Linked DNA regions of Macaca mulatta. The protein of the gene in region 1 interacts with the protein of each later gene in a pairwise test. Links are inferred from orthologs where the notes say so. Each region holds a gene or a part of one and is shown in the gene's direction. Other genes may lie near its edges. The genes, in order: MKRN2, RACK1, NDN and HTT.

Region 1 (3,949 bases):
TGTGCTTCTCTCTTCAGGTATTTTATGCATGGTGTGTGTCGGGAAGGAAGTCAGTGCCTGTTCTCACATGACTTGGCAAACAGCAAGCCGTCCACCATCTGCAAGTACTACCAGAAGGGCTACTGTGCCTATGGAACTCGGTGCAGGCAAGGACTCTGTGACAGGCTCCAGCTGTGACACTGATTTCGTTTGGAGAATGGGTCTTGATAAGGGGGAAGTTTTAATGTAAAAGTAATATGACAACATTACAGAAAGTATGGCAAATAAATTTAAAACCTCAGTTTCAGTACCCTAAAACTAATTTTCTTTTTTTTTTTTTTTTTTTGAGATGGAGTCTTGCACTGTTGCCCAGGCTGGAGGGCAGTGGCGCAGTCTTGGCTCTCTGCAACCTCCGCCTCCAGGGTTCAAGCAGTTCTCCTGCCTCAGCCTCCCGAGTAGCTGATATCACAGGCACCTGCCACTACACCTGGCTGATTTTTTTTTTGTATTTTTAGTAGAGACGGGGTTTCACCATGTTGGTCAGGCTGGTCTTAACTCCAGACCTCATGATCTGCCTGCCTTGGCTTCCCAAAGTGCTGGGATTACAGGTGTGAGCCACCGTGCCCGGTCTAATTTTCATTTTTTAAAACTACTTTTCAGCCTTATTCTTATGAATATATAGTTATAAAATTGTACACAATTCCAGAAACTTGTTTGTGCTTTTGTAGTGCAGAGCTGATCTTTTCTTTCCTAGGCTGCAAAGCTTCCTTTCCTCCATTTTCTATGCAGTGCAGTGGGAGATGATGGAAGTAGGCCCACCTTGGTCTCCCCCTGCCAATGAGTGCCGAGAGAGACAGTCAGGGAGAGGTCATTGGCCCTTGTCAGCATTTTGGGGACTCCTGCTCAAAAGAATACTGGGTCAGTCAGGCATCAGGAGATTTCAGCTCAACATCTGTTTGGAACTTTCAGGCTCTCTGTGTGGTCTGGAGCTGTGTGTCTGTCCCACTCAAGTCCCACAGAGACACTTAAGCATAGGTGATAGATAGCAAATGTCCCCCTCACACTGAATTGCCAAGCATCTGTTAATCAATAATCCTGTTAGAGTTTAAATATTGGAAAAGATGGCTGCTTTCTTCACCTCAACAAGTGCAGCAGCAGGAGGGCCATTGGCATCTGGGGAGTGTGGGGATGTGTGTGGATGGCATGTCTGTAATGCATCTGCTATGTGTTTTGTTTAGATATGACCACACGAGGCCCTCTGCTGCAGCTGGAGGTGCTGTCGGCACCATGGCCCACAGTGTGCCCTCCCCAGCTTTCCACAATCCTCACCCTTCTTCTGAGGTCACTGCGTCCATTGTGAAAACTAACTCACATGAACCCGGGAAGCGTGAAAAGAGAACGTTGGTTCTTAGAGACCGAAGTGAGTAAGCGGAAGCCTTTTGTTGCTTCTTTTTGCATAGCACTCTTGCTTATGCTTGGTGCTCCTTTCTAGCCTCCTCTTGTCAAGAGGACTCCTAACCTAATACACCTCCAGGTTGTCCGCGTGGAGAGACTTCAGAACTTTCTGAAGAGGCTCCATGTGGCTGTAGATCATTCAAATGATACGTTTGCCCTCGTGCCCAAAGGCTGGGTTGAGCTCCAAGACTGACCTGGCAAAACATAAAAACGCAATCTTTTTGTCAGCATGTAACTTCCATCTTCATATGGTGGTTGTCCAGTTGGTGAGAAGCATCAAGCTCTTCATTTCAAACCTAAATATTTTGTCTGGGTACAGTGGCTCACACCTGTAACCCGAACACTTTGGGAGACTGAGGTGGGCAGATCACCTGAGGTCAGGAGTTCGAGACCAGCCTGGCCAACATGGTTTAGTAGAAACCCCGTCTCTACTAAAAATGCAAAAATTAGCCGGGCGTAGTGGCAGACGTCTGTAATCCCAGCTACTTGGGAGACTGAGGCAGGAGAATTTCTTGAACCCGGGAGGCAGAGGTTGTAGTGAGCTGAGATCATGCCACTGCACTCCAACCTGGGTGACAAGAGTGAGACTCCCTCTCAAAAAAAAAAAACAAAACTAAATATTTTGCTAAAGAGCATGTTTCACTGTTTGACTTTTAGGCCAGTGAATGGTCTTAGTTTTTATGCTGACAGTGTGTGACATTTTAGATTGCACCTTTGGGAACAGAATAGCACACTAGGGTTTGGGACATGGTCTGTGCCTTAAAACGGGGTTTGATGAGGAAGAAAGCTACAAATTGTAAAAGTTTTTTTGTTTTTTTGTGTGTTTTGTTTTTTTGAGACGGAGTCTCACTCTGTCACCTAGGCTGCAGTGCAGTGGCATGATCTCCGCCTCCCAGGTTCAAGGGATTCTTCTGCCTCAGCCTTCCGAGTAGCTGGGATTACAGGTGCCCACCACCATGCCCAGCTAATTTTTGTATTTTTAGTAGAGACAGGGTTTCGCTATGTTAGTCAGGCTGGTCTCGAACTCCTGATCTCATAATCCACCCGCCTCAGCCTCCCAAAGTGCTGGGATTACAGGCAAGAGCCACTGCACCCGGCCGTAAAAGTTGTTTTTATTGGCTGGTCCGCACCAGGTGAAGAGATTTCTAGTTCTTGGAATTGGGTACCGTGAGGTAGGCAGATTCCATCCTCAGCAAATGAGTAGTCCTGTGAGAATACATGACCTGTAAACAAGCTCGGAGGTGTGCAGTGGGAAGGCAGCAGCTCCTGGCGTGAGAAGGGTTCACCATGGGACAGTTTACTCTGGCCTCAGGACCCACAGATTTGCTGTAGACATCTATTCTAGTTCACTTAAAATGATTGGTAACTTTGCTGGTATGAAGGAAACACTGTGTTCTAGTGATCTCACTTTTTTGTTTGTTTTAGTGTTAACTGGTCCATGTGTTAACATTTCCATATTTGCCATTTTAAACAGCAGCTTTAGTGTTCTTTTGTGTAAGTGTATCCTATTGTTTTGCTTATTTCCCTGTCTGGCCATTTTTGTTTTTTGTTTTTTTAAGTAATGTCACTATGAACATTTTATACTATTCCTTTTATTTTTCCCCTTCGGTCTGTTTTTTTGCCATATGTTCTCAAGGGTGGAATTCTTAGGTCAGAGTAGCTTAATATGTTAGGCTTTGGTTAATGGCATATCAGAAAAATGGGGCCATTTTCATGTGTGTGTGCCGTGTGTTGTATTCAGATCTGTCTGGCATGGCTGAAGGAAAGACTCAGCCGAGCATGGTGAGTAATCCAGGCAGCTGCAGCGACCCCCAACCCAGCCCCGAGATGAAGCCGCATTCCTACCTGGAGGCCATCAGGAGTGGCCTTGATGACGTGGAGGCCAGCAGCTCCTACAGCAACGAGCAGCAGCTGTGCCCCTACGCAGCTGCTGGGGAGTGCCGGTTTGGGGATGCCTGTGTCTACCTGCATGGGGAGGTGTGTGAAATCTGTAGGCTGCGAGTCTTGCACCCCTTCGACCCAGAGCAGAGGAAGGCTCACGAAAAGGTAAAGTCACAAACCTTTGCATGAACTCAATGTTAAGAAATCTGAAACGTACTGAACAGGACACTGAAGGCCATCCATACACACTCAAAAAAAGAAATCCGAAACATACTGACAGAATTGTTGGTGTTTCCACAGGCATCCCCCTGCCAGTAATATACCTATGTTATGCATCTGGTATATTTACATCCTATTTTGAGATTCTTTTTCCTGCAGTCATTTTGCCTTTTTTTTTTTTTTGAAACAGAGTCTCCCTGTCACCCAGCCTGGAATACAGTGGTGCAATCTCGGCTCACTGCAACCTCTGCTTCCCCGGCTCAGGTGATCCTCCTGGCTCAGCCCCGCCGAGTGGCTGGGATTACAGGCACTCACCACCACGCTCGGCTACTTTTGTATTTTTAGGAAAGAAGGGGTTTCACCATATTGGCCAAGCTGGTCTCGAACTCCTGACCTCAAGTGGTCCGCCTGCCTC
Region 2 (4,438 bases), on another chromosome or scaffold:
ATGTAGATACTAATGTTATTTCCAATCTCATTTCACAGATGAGAAACAAAAGTTGATAGATGTCACAAATAGAAATGTGACATCTTTATTTTGCATAGATGTTGGTGGCTGCTATCATCCTGATATGTCCTCCTGTTTAAAACTACTTGAAGAGACACGGTGCCCAATACTCTTATAGTCAGATGTGAGAGAATGAGAGTCATTACTTGTTTAAATTCCTGAGGTAGAGTGGAAGGCAGAAGGACAGCTAGGTATCCGTGTTCCACCGCTTCCCTGTCTGGGCACGTCCTTCAGGGTGCAACTGGACCCCCAGACGCCTGGGCTTTTGTGTGCAGTGACTGGGCCCAGAGAGAGCTTTCCAGTGGATGTCCCCAGAAGTCAGAACTTTAAGGTCCTCCTTTGGGCGTTTCCGTTTCTGCGAGAGCTTCCCGTGTTCTGACCTAGGCAGGAATGGATTGGCAGTCTAGCAACACACAGGGCAATTTTCACCTTATTATTTTATTGTATGTATGTATGTATTTATTTGAGTCGGAGTCTCGCTCTACTGCCCAGGCTGGAGTGCAGTGGCGGGATCTCGATTCACTGCAACTTCTGCCTCCCAGGTTCAAGGGATTCTCCTGCCTCAGCCTCCCGAGTAGCTGGGATTACAGGCACCCGCCACCACACCTGGCTAATTTTACTTATTTATTTATTTATTTATTTATTTATTGGAAAGAGGTTGCATCATGTTGGCCAGGCTAGTCTCGAACTCCTGACCTCAAGTGATCCACCCCCTCGGCCTCCCAAAGTGGAATGATTACAGGCACGAGCCACTGCGCCCGGCAAAAAGAGACCAATTTTTAGTACATCCAGAGTAACCCTCTCCTGCCTTAGTCCAGCCTGGACTAAGTCCTTCCGGAGTTGGTGTGCATCAGAACAAAAACCTCTTGAGGGAGGACGGTCCCGCGGAAGCACAGTTTTAAAGTTTATTTTTAAAATTTTAATGCCATACTTTTTTAAATTGCCCATCGTTACCCACGATAGTGAACTGAAAATTAAGCTCTCCTGTGGTTGCCCCGTCAACCCTCCCCGCACCAAGTGGAACAGGCGGAGCTCGAGCTACGCCACATAGGGGCGGGGAAGCCGCCAGGGAGTCCTCATGGGAATGTGCCGTACACTTCACCTCTTTCGCTTCTCGCTCTACATCATCCCTGAGAAGCCTTTTTAAACACTTGAATGTGCTTGTTTCAGAATGTATTTATAAAGCGCTGTCAGATTATGTTGTACGGAAGTGGGGACTGTGATGCCGTGCAATTTCCCTTTGCCTTTTGCATTACATGGCGCCGCCATCTTGAGCAGAAGTGTATCATGGGGCTCGCCATTTTACTTGGTCGAGTGGGTATTTCCGGTTCCGGCAGAGGGCTTCTCTCTTTCACTGCAAGGCGGCGGCGGTAGCGGCTGTGTTGCTCGTTTCTCTGAGCCATCCAGTGCCATCCTCGTCGCTGCAGCGACACACGCGCTCGCCGCCGCCATGACTGAGCAGATGACCCTTCGTGGCACCCTCAAGGGCCACAACGGCTGGGTAACCCAGATCGCTACTACCCCGCAGTTCCCGGACATGATCCTGTCCGCCTCTCGAGGTACGGACTAAGGTAGATTTCAGGACCCGAGATTGCAGGGCTGGGGGATTCCGCGTGGTTCGGGCAGGCCGGTGGCGCGCGCGCTGCCGGGGACTGACAAACTTCTCTGCCTCACTGTGATTTGGGGCGTGCGGACGCGAGCCTAGGCCTCAGCCCGGGCGAACCACATTGCAGATGAGGACCTAGACGTAGAGCGGCTCGTGGCTGTTAGGGTTGGAGAGTTGGAAACTTTTAAAACATCTTCTGCCTTCCCCTTCGTAGTGTGGTCGGGGGCCTACGGGCCGGGCGGGGCGGTGATGACCCCAACATGCCATCTGAGTGTCGGTGCTGAAATCCAGAGGCTGTTTCTGAGCTGCCGCCCGGCCCAAGGCTCGTGGGGAGGCGGGTGGACTCCAGAGGACCTCGTGGCTCAAGTCTCGTCCTACTTTTTCTGCCCCTGGGTCTCCCCTCCCCGTCCCTATCCCTGTGTGCCTGACTGCGTTTGGACACTTGTTGTGCTTCCCCTTTGCTCCTACACTGTTAAGAATTGTGTGACTCTTGAATCATGTCTGGCTGTTAATCGTAAAATTGTTGAGTGGGACAGGTTTCAGTAAAAGCATCCGATCCTGTAGCGCCTAAAGTGGCTTTTCCAGCATTCATTATAACATTTCTGTCGGCCCTCATGGGAGGCATGGGAGGCCCCAGCTACTCTACAGCCACGAACTGCTGTGCATTCGGTTGCAGAGAAGATACGTGGTGGCTGTTGAGTTCGTCTGAGTTTCAGGAAAGGGTGTCTGTAATTTCTGGCACCTAAATTAAGTTCTCAGGATACAGACCGGGCACGGTGGCTCACGGCTATAATCCCAGCACTTTGGGAGGCAGAGGCGGGCGGATCACCTTAGGTCAGGAGTTCGAAACTAGCCTGGCCAATGGTGAAACCCCATCTCTAGTTTAAAAAAAAAAAAAAAGCCAGGCGTGCTGGGGGTGGCCTGTAATTCCAGCTACTAGGGAGGCTGAGGCAGGAGAATTGCTTGAACACGGGAGGTGGAGGTTGCAGTGAGCCGAGATCATGCCATTGCACTCCAGCCTGGGTGACAGAGTGAGACTCCATCTCAAAAAAAAAAAAAAAAAAGAGTTATCACGGTACAGTTTAGCTCTGCGTGCGTTTTTAGTCTGGAATAGAGCCACTCAGTCCTGGCCTGTAACTGCTCTTGTAGTCTGTTGTTCCATCCCTCCTTAAGCATCCTTAGTTGTTAACCCACTCATGACCTTGACACTTAGTGAATTATCCAGTGTGTTAACAAACTGGCTGCGGGTTCCTCACTGGTTTTTCTTCTGTTTGGCCGCTTTTAGATAAGACCATCATCATGTGGAAACTGACCAGGGATGAGACCAACTATGGAATTCCACAGCGTGCTCTGCGGGGTCACTCCCACTTTGTTAGTGATGTGGTTATCTCCTCAGATGGCCAGTTTGCCCTCTCAGGCTCCTGGGATGGAACCCTGCGCCTCTGGGATCTCACAACGCAAGTAGCTGCTCACTTAGCTCTGGGGCCTTGGGAAAAAATCTGGGCAGAAATGTGGTGGATGCAATTGGCTGGTTTCCCAGGGGAGATCCAGTCCATTTGGGAACTGGAAAGCAGACTGCACCTACAGAAGATGTTTGGCCTCCCTCGCTTTGAATTAGTTACTCAGGATTGCTGAGGAGTGTGGTTGAACATATCTACCAGGTGCGACAGTTTTGAGTAGGCAGCAGTTTGAACATGTTTTACCTTGAAAGCTGAGGTGATTGGCAGGTGGAATTAGAGGGTCCTGGTGATGACAGATGACATTGTCAGCCAATCCCCATGTGGGAGTGAGGACATGTCCTGCAATTCTGAAGGGATTCTTTGTCATATATGTGTGAGTAATGCAATGAGACAGAGACAAGGCCCAGGAATCAGTCTGACCCTTGAATGAGAATGTTTGTTAAGTCTGAGAATGACAAAGTCCTCCCTCTTAGGGGCACCACCACGAGGCGATTTGTGGGCCATACCAAGGATGTGCTGAGTGTGGCCTTCTCCTCTGACAACCGGCAGATTGTCTCTGGATCTCGAGATAAAACCATCAAGCTATGGAATACCCTGGGTGTGTGCAAATACACTGTCCAGGTAAAGTGAGGCCATGGTCAGAGAGCACATCTCCAAGGATCTCTCCCACTCTCTTAACCTTTACTTTTTTTTTTTTTTTTTATTTTGAGACAGTCTCACTCTGTCGCCCAGGCTGAAGTGCAGTGGCGCTGTGTCAGCTTACTGCAACCTCTGCCTCCCAGGCTCAGGTGATTCTGGTGCCTCAGTCTCCACAGTAGCTGGTGCTACAGGTGCGCACCACCAGGGTGGTCTCGAACTGAGCTTAGGCAGTCTGCCCGCCTCAGCCTCCCAAAGTGCTGGGATTACAGGCGTGAGCCACCATGGCCTGCATATCTTTACCCTTTTTTTTTTTTTTTTTTTAAAGACAGTTTTGCTCATTGCCCAGGCTGGGGTGCAATGGCGTGACCGCAGCTGACCACAACCTCCGCCTCCCGAGTTCAAGCAATTCTACCTCAGCTTCCCAAGTAGCTGGGATTACAGGCATGTGCCACCACGCCTGGTTTTGTATTTTTAGTAGAGATGGGGTTTCTCCATGTTGGTCAGGCTGGTCTTGAACTCCCAACGTCAGGTGATCTGCCCGCCTCAGCCTCCCAAAGTGCTGGGATTACGGGCGTGAGCCACCGTGCCCGGCTCTCTGCCTTTTTAAAGTCTTGGCTGGGCTCATGCTCTGGTAGGCCAAGGTGGGAGGATTGCTTGAGGACAGGAGAGCAGC
Region 3 (4,024 bases), on another chromosome or scaffold:
AGGAGAAGGAGAAAAGTGTTGAAATAATTCCAACTAAGACTGATATCTAGGAATTACCCTGGTGAAGTGGGAAGCTAAAGAGCCTGTTGGAAGGACTGGTGTGGGAATGGCTCTGCCAAAAGTGTTATGTGCATGCAAACCCAAAGAGAGAGAGCACAGAAAACCCTTCAACATCAACCTGCTTGAGGAAAAATAAAGTGACAAGTGGGAAAAGATACATACTCACAGCGAGGACTCTAGACATGTTAAGACAATTTTTAAATGTGCTTTTGGCTTCGAGTGGCAATAATTAGACTCAACATATTTAAGAAGCTACTGATGAGAAGAAACGCTGGAAGCGCTGAAGGACCACATCAGCCCAGACCAAGGATGCTGAAGCAGCATCAAGGCCCTTGGTTTCAGAGGCTCCACCAATGACCCTTTTTTCAGGGAGACCCTGTAGGAGCGAGTTTTGTCTTTGCCCAGTGGGAATCTGTCTTCTATACTTAGAAAACAGGGTTACCCATGTTGCCCCTGCTACCCTTGGGTCATCTCAGAGACACTACCAGATATTACCTATGAGACCTAGTTGTTTTTTTTTAAATCTCAGGAAGGACTTGGGTGTGGCTTCCAACGTGGAGGACTCAGTAGCTTCAGAGAGGGTCCTGGGAGAAGGTGAATCGGAGAATAAGGGTGCTGGGCAGAGGGAAAAAGACATTATTATACAAGTTTGTGCTAAAAGATATAGCAATCCTTCTGCTGTGGACTAAGTATGGAAAAAAATAAAATGGAATCAAAGTGACCCAAAGGAAATGTAAAACTCAAATTTATGCCCACTAAAGCATTAATGATGCTCTAAGTCCGCTGCCTACTTAAAAGGTTCATAGTTCACATGGGTTGACAGGAAATTACGTTAAGGACACGCTGCATTTCTCCTTTTCTTACAACCCCTCTGATTTGGTAGGGAGGGAGTCAATCATTTTTTTATTGGAATTTCTCAGGATTCCAACTTCAGACATACACTTTACACATTTTCTTGGACAAGCCCGACTGTTCCTCTCACTCGTTCGCATAAAGCTCAAGTTTACACAGCCGCCCAGACCTTTCTCTGGGACGCTCATATTTAACTTAATTCTGGATATATCAGGTAAGCGTTTCCCAAGAAACTTGACCCCAACATCCCAAAAACTTAAGTTATCATCTTTCTCCTAAACTGGCCCCTTCTCCAGTACGCATCCATCGCACTCTTCTCCTGCCCTAGATCCCCTCAGCCCAAACGGGAAACCCCGGGATCGCTCTCTCCGCAGGTGAAGCTTAGCCAGGGACCCTCCCCGTCGGGGCTCCGCGCTGCCCCGCCCGCCCCCAGCCGCTGGCCAAGGCCGCAGTCGCGCAGGCGCAGTGCCGCGTCCCGCCGCCGCCCCGCCCTGCCCGCCGCTGCGGAAGGCGCCGCGCACAGCAACGCGCACTTCCTCTCCAGGAATCCGCGGAGGGAGCGCAGGCTTGAAGAGCTCCTGGACGCAGAGGCCCTGCCCTTGCCAGACGGCGCAGATATGTCAGAACAAAGTAAGGATCTAAGCGACCCTAACTTTGCAGCCGAGGCCCCCAGCTCCGAGGTGCACAGCAGCCCTGGGGTTCCGGAGGGGGTTCCTCCGTCCGAGACCCTGGCAGAGCCGCAGAGCCCTCCTTTAGGCCCGACGGCCGCCCCGCAGGCCGCGCAGCCTCCCCAGGCCCCGAGCGACGAGGACGACCCGAAGGCCCTGCAGCAGGCCGCGGAGGAGGGCCGCGCCCACCAGGCCCCGAGCGCGGCCCAGCCCGGCCCGGCCCCGCCAGCCCCGGCGCAGCTGGTGCAGAAGGCGCACGAGCTCATGTGGTACGTGCTGGTCAAGGACCAGAAGAAGATGATCATCTGGTTTCCAGACATGGTGAAAGATGTCATCGGCAGCTACAAGAAGTGGTGCAGGAGCATCCTCCGGCGCACCAGCCTCATCCTCGCCCGGGTGTTCGGGCTGCACCTGAGGCTAACCAGCCTGCACACCATGGAGTTTGCGCTGGTCAAAGCGCTGGAGCCCGAGGAGCTGGACAGGGTGGCGCTGAGCAACCGCATGCCCATGACAGGTCTCCTCCTCATGATCCTGAGCCTCATCTACGTGAAGGGCCGCGGCGCCAGAGAGAGCGCGGTCTGGAACGTGCTCCGCATCCTGGGGCTGCGGCCCTGGAAGAAGCACTCCACCTTCGGGGACGTGCGGAAGCTCATCACTGAGGAGTTCGTCCAGCAGAATTACCTGAAGTACCAGCGCGTCCCGTACGTGGAGCCGCCCGAGTACGAGTTCTTCTGGGGCTCCCGGGCCAGCCGCGAAATCACCAAGCTGCAAATCATGGAGTTCCTGGCCAGGGTCTTTAAGAAAGACCCCCAGGCCTGGCCCTCCCGATACAGAGAGGCTCTGGAGGAGGCCAGAGCTCTGCGGGAGGCTAATCCCGCTGCCCACTGCCCTCGCAGCAGTGTCTCCGAGGACTAGCCAAGTCTGGAGGCAGATGAATGCTTTCTGATCCTCACCAGGGCTGTGGAAGGGTGGGGGTGGGTCATTAGAGTGTTCAGGATTTACAGTGCAGTATTCACGTGTAACTTTTACGTTTTCAGTACAGTGCTTTTATACCTTTAATGCAATGTTGTGTTCATTTGGGTACTATTGTGTAGTATTTAGGATGTATGCATGTTTGTTTATATGTAAGCTTGGTTGGTGCTTTCGCTTTTGTGGTACCTTTCTTGGATTTTTGTATCAGAGACGTGCTAAACTGATGAAGTACATTGAGAACGTTTCCATCTTATTAATTTACATGGGACTGAGATGTGTGTTGGGGTAGACTGCTCCTGCAGAGTTTGGAAAAACTCACCAGCAAAGCCGGCCTAACCAAGAAATGTCAAGGCCCTCATGACCTTGCTGGGGACTGAAAACATCCTCGTGGAGTAAACTAATTTGAACTGGACTGGTCTCAATGTGAGAGCACTTGGCACACTTTACTAAACACATATACAACCCCACCGTGAGTCAACTTTAAAGTAAACATTAAAGATTCTTGTGATACAATCATTTCTGGAAGTGTACGTTATCATTTTAACAAAGCAGTATGGTTGGGAATGAGACAATTCTCTGTTTTACAGTATACACAGATATAACTATTTCCCCTAATGGGGTGGGAAAAATCGCTACTCATGATTACTCCTAAATTTGTGAAGTTTGTAGTTTTGTCTTTAACTCATGTTTATTTCAAAAACATGCACAAATATAGAAAAGCATAAAAAACAAAACAGTAAGATTGTCCATAATCACATCCTATGGGAATAAAAACCAAAAATAATTTCCTTCCCTTAAGTTTCTACATTTTATCAAAATTAATAGATGCTTTGTGGGCACTTAAAGAGTGAGACATTGTACATGAGCCCTGACGTGTATTTTTCTCCTTTTATCTAATCCTCACAACAGGCCTGTCAGGCAGGCAAGAACTGCCTCTGCACCATGGAGGAAACACAGGAATAATGTAGGTAATGGACTTTCCATAGCTCATACAGGTTAATAAGAGAAGGCGCTAGGACTAGAACTCACAATGAATCCAGAGTCCACATTTGTCCCCACCTGCCTTCAACTCCCCTACACCCTGTGGTTTTTAGGTTATTTATTTTTAACTTTATATTGAAATTTCATGTGGGAGCCCACACTCACATGGGTTCATGGGCCACACATACAAAAAGGCTAGGAATTTTATTTTTCTAATTCTTAGGATATTTTGGAGAAAGCAATATCATTCTGATTCTGCAAATTAAGAAACTTACTTTTGGAGAGATTAATTAACCTAATAAAGTGATATTCCTGTTGAGCAGTGAAGCTGGGATTGGAAACAATCTTTCCTGAGGGTTGGAGGTGAAGGTGCTTTCTCTGACAAACACACAAGACACCTAAGAGAGGGAGGTGGGTTGCCCATCAGGATGTCTCGGGCCTCGCAGCCCTTGAGTTGCGGTGAGCCACTAGGTAATCCTCAGAGGATGGGA
Region 4 (3,949 bases), on another chromosome or scaffold:
CACTGGCTGGTGGCTGTCTGGCAGGATTTGGGACATCCTGGAGCAGGGACAGTGGCTCAACAGGGGCCATTGCCCTCATCCAGGCCAGAGTGGCACAAGCTTGTGGGGAGGCCCTTCTCGTCTGTCATCCTTGCTGGGCGGTGGGTGCTGTGCTAGCAGGACGCAGGACAGGCGGACAGCTGGCAACTGTCTCTGCATCCCTGGAGCCTGGCATAGGGCAAGTCACACGGGGGACACAGGCCTGCAAATCAGGCACATGCGTTGGTGCAGCGAGGTGATTTTGGGGGGCAGCCCCACAACAGGCCCCAGGCACAGGCCAAAGCCCTGGCTGTGCTGGCGTGTTGGGCCGTCTATGGCTCTTGCTGTGGGCATGGAGGACTCAGGAAAGGAGAGTTGAGGTGGCCCAGGAGTTGCGTTTGGGATGCAGAGAGCTTGTGGCATCCAGGTAGAAATGGTGTGTGGGGCTGGCCTCAGTGCCATGGGCACGGGCTGTGTCACATGCCTCCGAGGTAGAGGTGGGATCACGTGGTGATGGATATAAGCATCACTGGGCACATTTCTGTGGGTGGAGGGGGGCATCTTATTGGCTCCTCTGTTCACAGTGGCCACTCATTCAGTCCCTGGCTACCGGGTCCCCATTGTGCCATGGGGAAGGCAGGTGCTGTCGGGGGATCACACAAGGCAGCACGTCATGGTGGAATGTGCCACGAAGGAAAAGCACAGGGCACTCAGGAAGTAGAGGGGACTGGCCTGGGGTGTGGGAATCCAGGGCCTCTTTGAGGGACAGAGAGAGGAAGTCTGTGGTGGCCAGTATGGAGGTGGCCACAGGGGAGGCTGGGCCAGGCCGAGAGGGCAGGGCGTGGAGGAGGTAGACGGGCTCAGCTATCCAGGGAGGGGTCGAGCAGAGGCTGAAGGGTCAGGCCAGGTTACAGGGGCCTGGGGAGCCACACAGGGTAGGTGCTCCCGGGAGCCAGCCTGGCCCGCAGCTCTTCACTCCCGCGTGTGGCTGGGCATGCTGCGAAGCCCTCTCTACGTTGGATGGGGGCGGCTGAGCCTGGCTGCTGTCTCCCGTTTTCAGCTGCGTGAACATTCACAGCCAGCAGCACGTACTGGTCATGTGTGCCACTGCGTTTTACCTGATTGAGAACTATCCTCTGGACGTAGGGCCAGAATTTTCAGCATCAATAATACAGGTGAGTGGGCCCTGACTGTCTTCCTCTGCACACGGGGAGTGGGCTTCCCTTCTCTTTTCCTTGCGGGATCATACCAGTGGGCCAGTTTTGACTTGGTGGGGAGGAGGCATGAACACCTGAGACCATGCAGCGACAGAAACCTTTCTCCCTGTGCAGATGTGTGGGGTGATGCTGTCCGGAAGTGAGGAGTCCACCCCCTCTATCATTTACCACTGTGCCCTCAGAGGCCTGGAGCGCCTCCTGCTCTCTGAGCAGCTCTCCCGCCTGGATGCAGAATCCCTGGTCAAGCTGAGTGTGGACAGAGTGAACGTGCACAGCCCGCACCGGGCCATGGCGGCTCTGGGCTTGATGCTCACCTGCATGTACACAGGTGAGCATGTACACAGTGCCCGCAAGGCCAGCCCAAGTCCTGTTCAAGGGAGACAGGAGCATGCTCGCTCAAGGAACCTAGACTAGGTGTCCTCTGATTTGACACTTTTAGTGTTGCCCCAAGCTGGCCCCATCACCTTGCAAGAGAGGCTCTGGAGCCCCCAGGGCTGGAGTACCTGGTCAGGGTTGACCACCCCTCTGGTCACTCATCCCATGTGGCTGAGCTGTGCTGGGTCCTGGGCTAGCGAGGGGCTCACATCACCTGCTGTCAGGTCTTCTCCAGTGATTCATTGGACTCCTGTGTACAAAGCACTATCTACAGAGCCTGTTGGGTTGTATAGATGTAACCTTCGTACTGAACACTTTTATTACAGGAAAGGAGAAAGTCAGTCCGGGTAGAACTTCAGACCCTAATCCTGCAGCCCCAGACAGCGAGTCGGTGATTGTTGCTATGGAGCGGGTGTCTGTTCTTTTTGATAGGTAAGAAACGAAGCCCCATCCCTCAGCCGTTAGCTTCCCTAGAATTTTGGCCTGAAGCTGAGCGTTTGTGTGTGTTGGCTGATCCCCTGGCGCTGTTGCTGGAGTCCCGCCAGTGATTCCTGACCACAGCCTGACCGTGGGCTGCCTTGGCTCAGGGTTCCACTGGCGAGCTGGTGGTCCTTGGACCCCAGCGCTCAGGTGTAGTGTTGACCAGTTCCAAGGTTGTCCCAGCGCCTGCCCATCTCTCCTGAGGGCTCAGGCACCGCACCTGGCCGTGTGGGGTATGGCAGGGGGCAGGAATGACCAGTCTCTGGGAGGGTGCGGCAGAAGCCTGCGCAGTGATGAGGAGTTGGCTCAGCCTGGCTGCCTGTCGTGAGAGGGGAGCCCACGGGGGTCTGTGGGAGGGGGTCCATGGTGCCTGTGAGCAGGGTGAGGGGCAGCAGCAGGAGGAGGAAGGTGAAACCCACACATGCATCTTTTGAGACCCGTGTGGTCAGTGGCTTCTCCTCGCTACCCCTCCGCCCCACTGCTGTGCGTGAATTGGTGTTGAGAATTGGCTTCGCTCCCCTGCTCTGGAAGTGGGTTAGGAGCTTCGTAGGGCTTTTTCTTAAGGACAAGGCTCCCTGATTGCTCTCAGGCCTCAGTCCTGGCGACATGGCGGATCTGGGGCGTTGTTGTGCTGCCTTGCCTGTGCTCTCCAATCAGGGTGTCCCAGTCCTGGCGACATGGCGGATCTGGGGCGTTGTTGCACTGCCTTGCCTGTGCTCTCCAATCAGGGTGTCCCAGTCCTGGCGACATGGCGGATCTGGGGCGTTGTTGCACTGCCTTGCCTGTGCTCTCCAATCAGGGTGTCCAGTGGGGAGCCATTTGGCTTTTCTCAAGAGCATACTCAGGTGGACTTTGCTCTATTCTTTGGCCAGATGAGGTGTTCTGAACAGCTGAGCCTGTGCTTGTCTGTTTTCATGTTTTTTTTTTTTTTTGAGATGGAGTTTTGCCCTTGTCACCCAGGCTGGAGTGCAATGGCGCGATCTCGGCTCACTGCAACCTCCACCTCCCGGGTTCAAGCGATTCTCCTGCCTCAGCCTCCCGAGTAGCTGGGATTACAGGCACGTGCCACCACGCCCAGCTAATTTTTGTGTTTTTAGTAGAGACAGTGCTTCACCGTGTTGGCCGAACTGGTCTCGAACTTCTGAACTCAAGTGATCCACCCTCCTCGGCCTCCCAAAGTGCTGGGATTGCAGGCGTGAGCCACCGTGCCTGGCCCCCATGTCGATTTTAAAACGCACCTCTGCATCATTCTTCAGTTCCCACATGCTCACTGAGCACCACCACAGCTGGCAGACGGACACAGGGAGGCGCCACGACCAGTCCTGGCCTTCAAGGGGCTTGTGGTCTAGTGGACCCAGTGCTAGGTGGCGAGTGCTCCAGAGAGCGTGGTGCATGCCTTCCGCTCTACCGCCCTCCAGACGCCGCAGGGAGGCACCTTGGAGCTGACCACAGATCTCCCTCCGTGGAGCACTGTCTTCAGCGCAGCCGCCATGCCACTGCTGGGCGAGGGTCTGCGGGCGGGTAGAGCCAGGAGCACCTCTGAGAAAGTGCACTGCCGTTTCTTGGCTGCTTCCTGTGCATCTCAGTTACACACAGCTGGCATGTGTGCACTGATGAGACAGGAACATGATGGTTGCTTTTCAGCACTAAAAAGGATACTGCTCAGGGGGCGTGTTTCAGGATCTGGTTAGGGAAAAAGCAGCGAGAGCACAGATGGGGCCCTGTTTGGTAACAAGAAAAAAGTCCCGGTTGACAACAGTGCTACAAAGTGTTAGAACACATAGAAATGTTTATGGAGCATTTGGATGTGGAAAGCAGCAAAAACATAATGAGAAGGGGTTCTTTTGTTAGGATTTTAA

What was found.
Region 2: the proteins of MKRN2 (region 1) and RACK1 interact in binary tests that used the Homo sapiens proteins (3 or more experiments, as listed by UniProt). The two-hybrid records come from large-scale screens. The link is inferred for Macaca mulatta from reciprocal best matches to the Homo sapiens genes MKRN2 and RACK1.
Region 3: the proteins of MKRN2 (region 1) and NDN interact in a two-hybrid assay, tested with the Homo sapiens proteins (2 studies listed by BioGRID and IntAct). The link is inferred for Macaca mulatta from reciprocal best matches to the Homo sapiens genes MKRN2 and NDN.
Region 4: the proteins of MKRN2 (region 1) and HTT interact in binary tests that used the Homo sapiens proteins (3 or more experiments, as listed by UniProt). The link is inferred for Macaca mulatta from reciprocal best matches to the Homo sapiens genes MKRN2 and HTT.

The regions. Positions count from the first base shown.
Region 1 is NC_133407.1:151,390,476-151,394,424, forward strand, and holds part of MKRN2 (E3 ubiquitin-protein ligase makorin-2), read left to right. Parts: intron 1-17; coding exon 18-146; intron 147-1,217; coding exon 1,218-1,399; intron 1,400-3,175; coding exon 3,176-3,480; intron 3,481-3,949. UniProt on the Homo sapiens protein: E3 ubiquitin ligase catalyzing the covalent attachment of ubiquitin moieties onto substrate proteins.
Region 2 is NC_133411.1:190,284,596-190,289,033, reverse strand, and holds the start of RACK1 (small ribosomal subunit protein RACK1), read left to right. Parts: upstream 1-1,406; 5' UTR 1,407-1,510; coding exon 1,511-1,619; intron 1,620-1,906; exon of another isoform or gene 1,907-1,974; intron 1,975-2,951; coding exon 2,952-3,123; intron 3,124-3,405; exon of another isoform or gene 3,406-3,484; intron 3,485-3,599; coding exon 3,600-3,747; intron 3,748-4,438. UniProt on the Homo sapiens protein: Scaffolding protein involved in the recruitment, assembly and/or regulation of a variety of signaling molecules. Interacts with a wide variety of proteins and plays a role in many cellular processes.
Region 3 is NC_133412.1:6,264,386-6,268,409, forward strand, and holds NDN (necdin), read left to right. Parts: upstream 1-1,415; 5' UTR 1,416-1,529; coding exon 1,530-2,495; 3' UTR 2,496-3,336; downstream 3,337-4,024. UniProt on the Homo sapiens protein: Growth suppressor that facilitates the entry of the cell into cell cycle arrest.
Region 4 is NC_133410.1:3,412,640-3,416,588, forward strand, and holds part of HTT (huntingtin), read left to right. Parts: intron 1-1,078; coding exon 1,079-1,193; intron 1,194-1,349; coding exon 1,350-1,563; intron 1,564-1,936; coding exon 1,937-2,042; intron 2,043-3,949.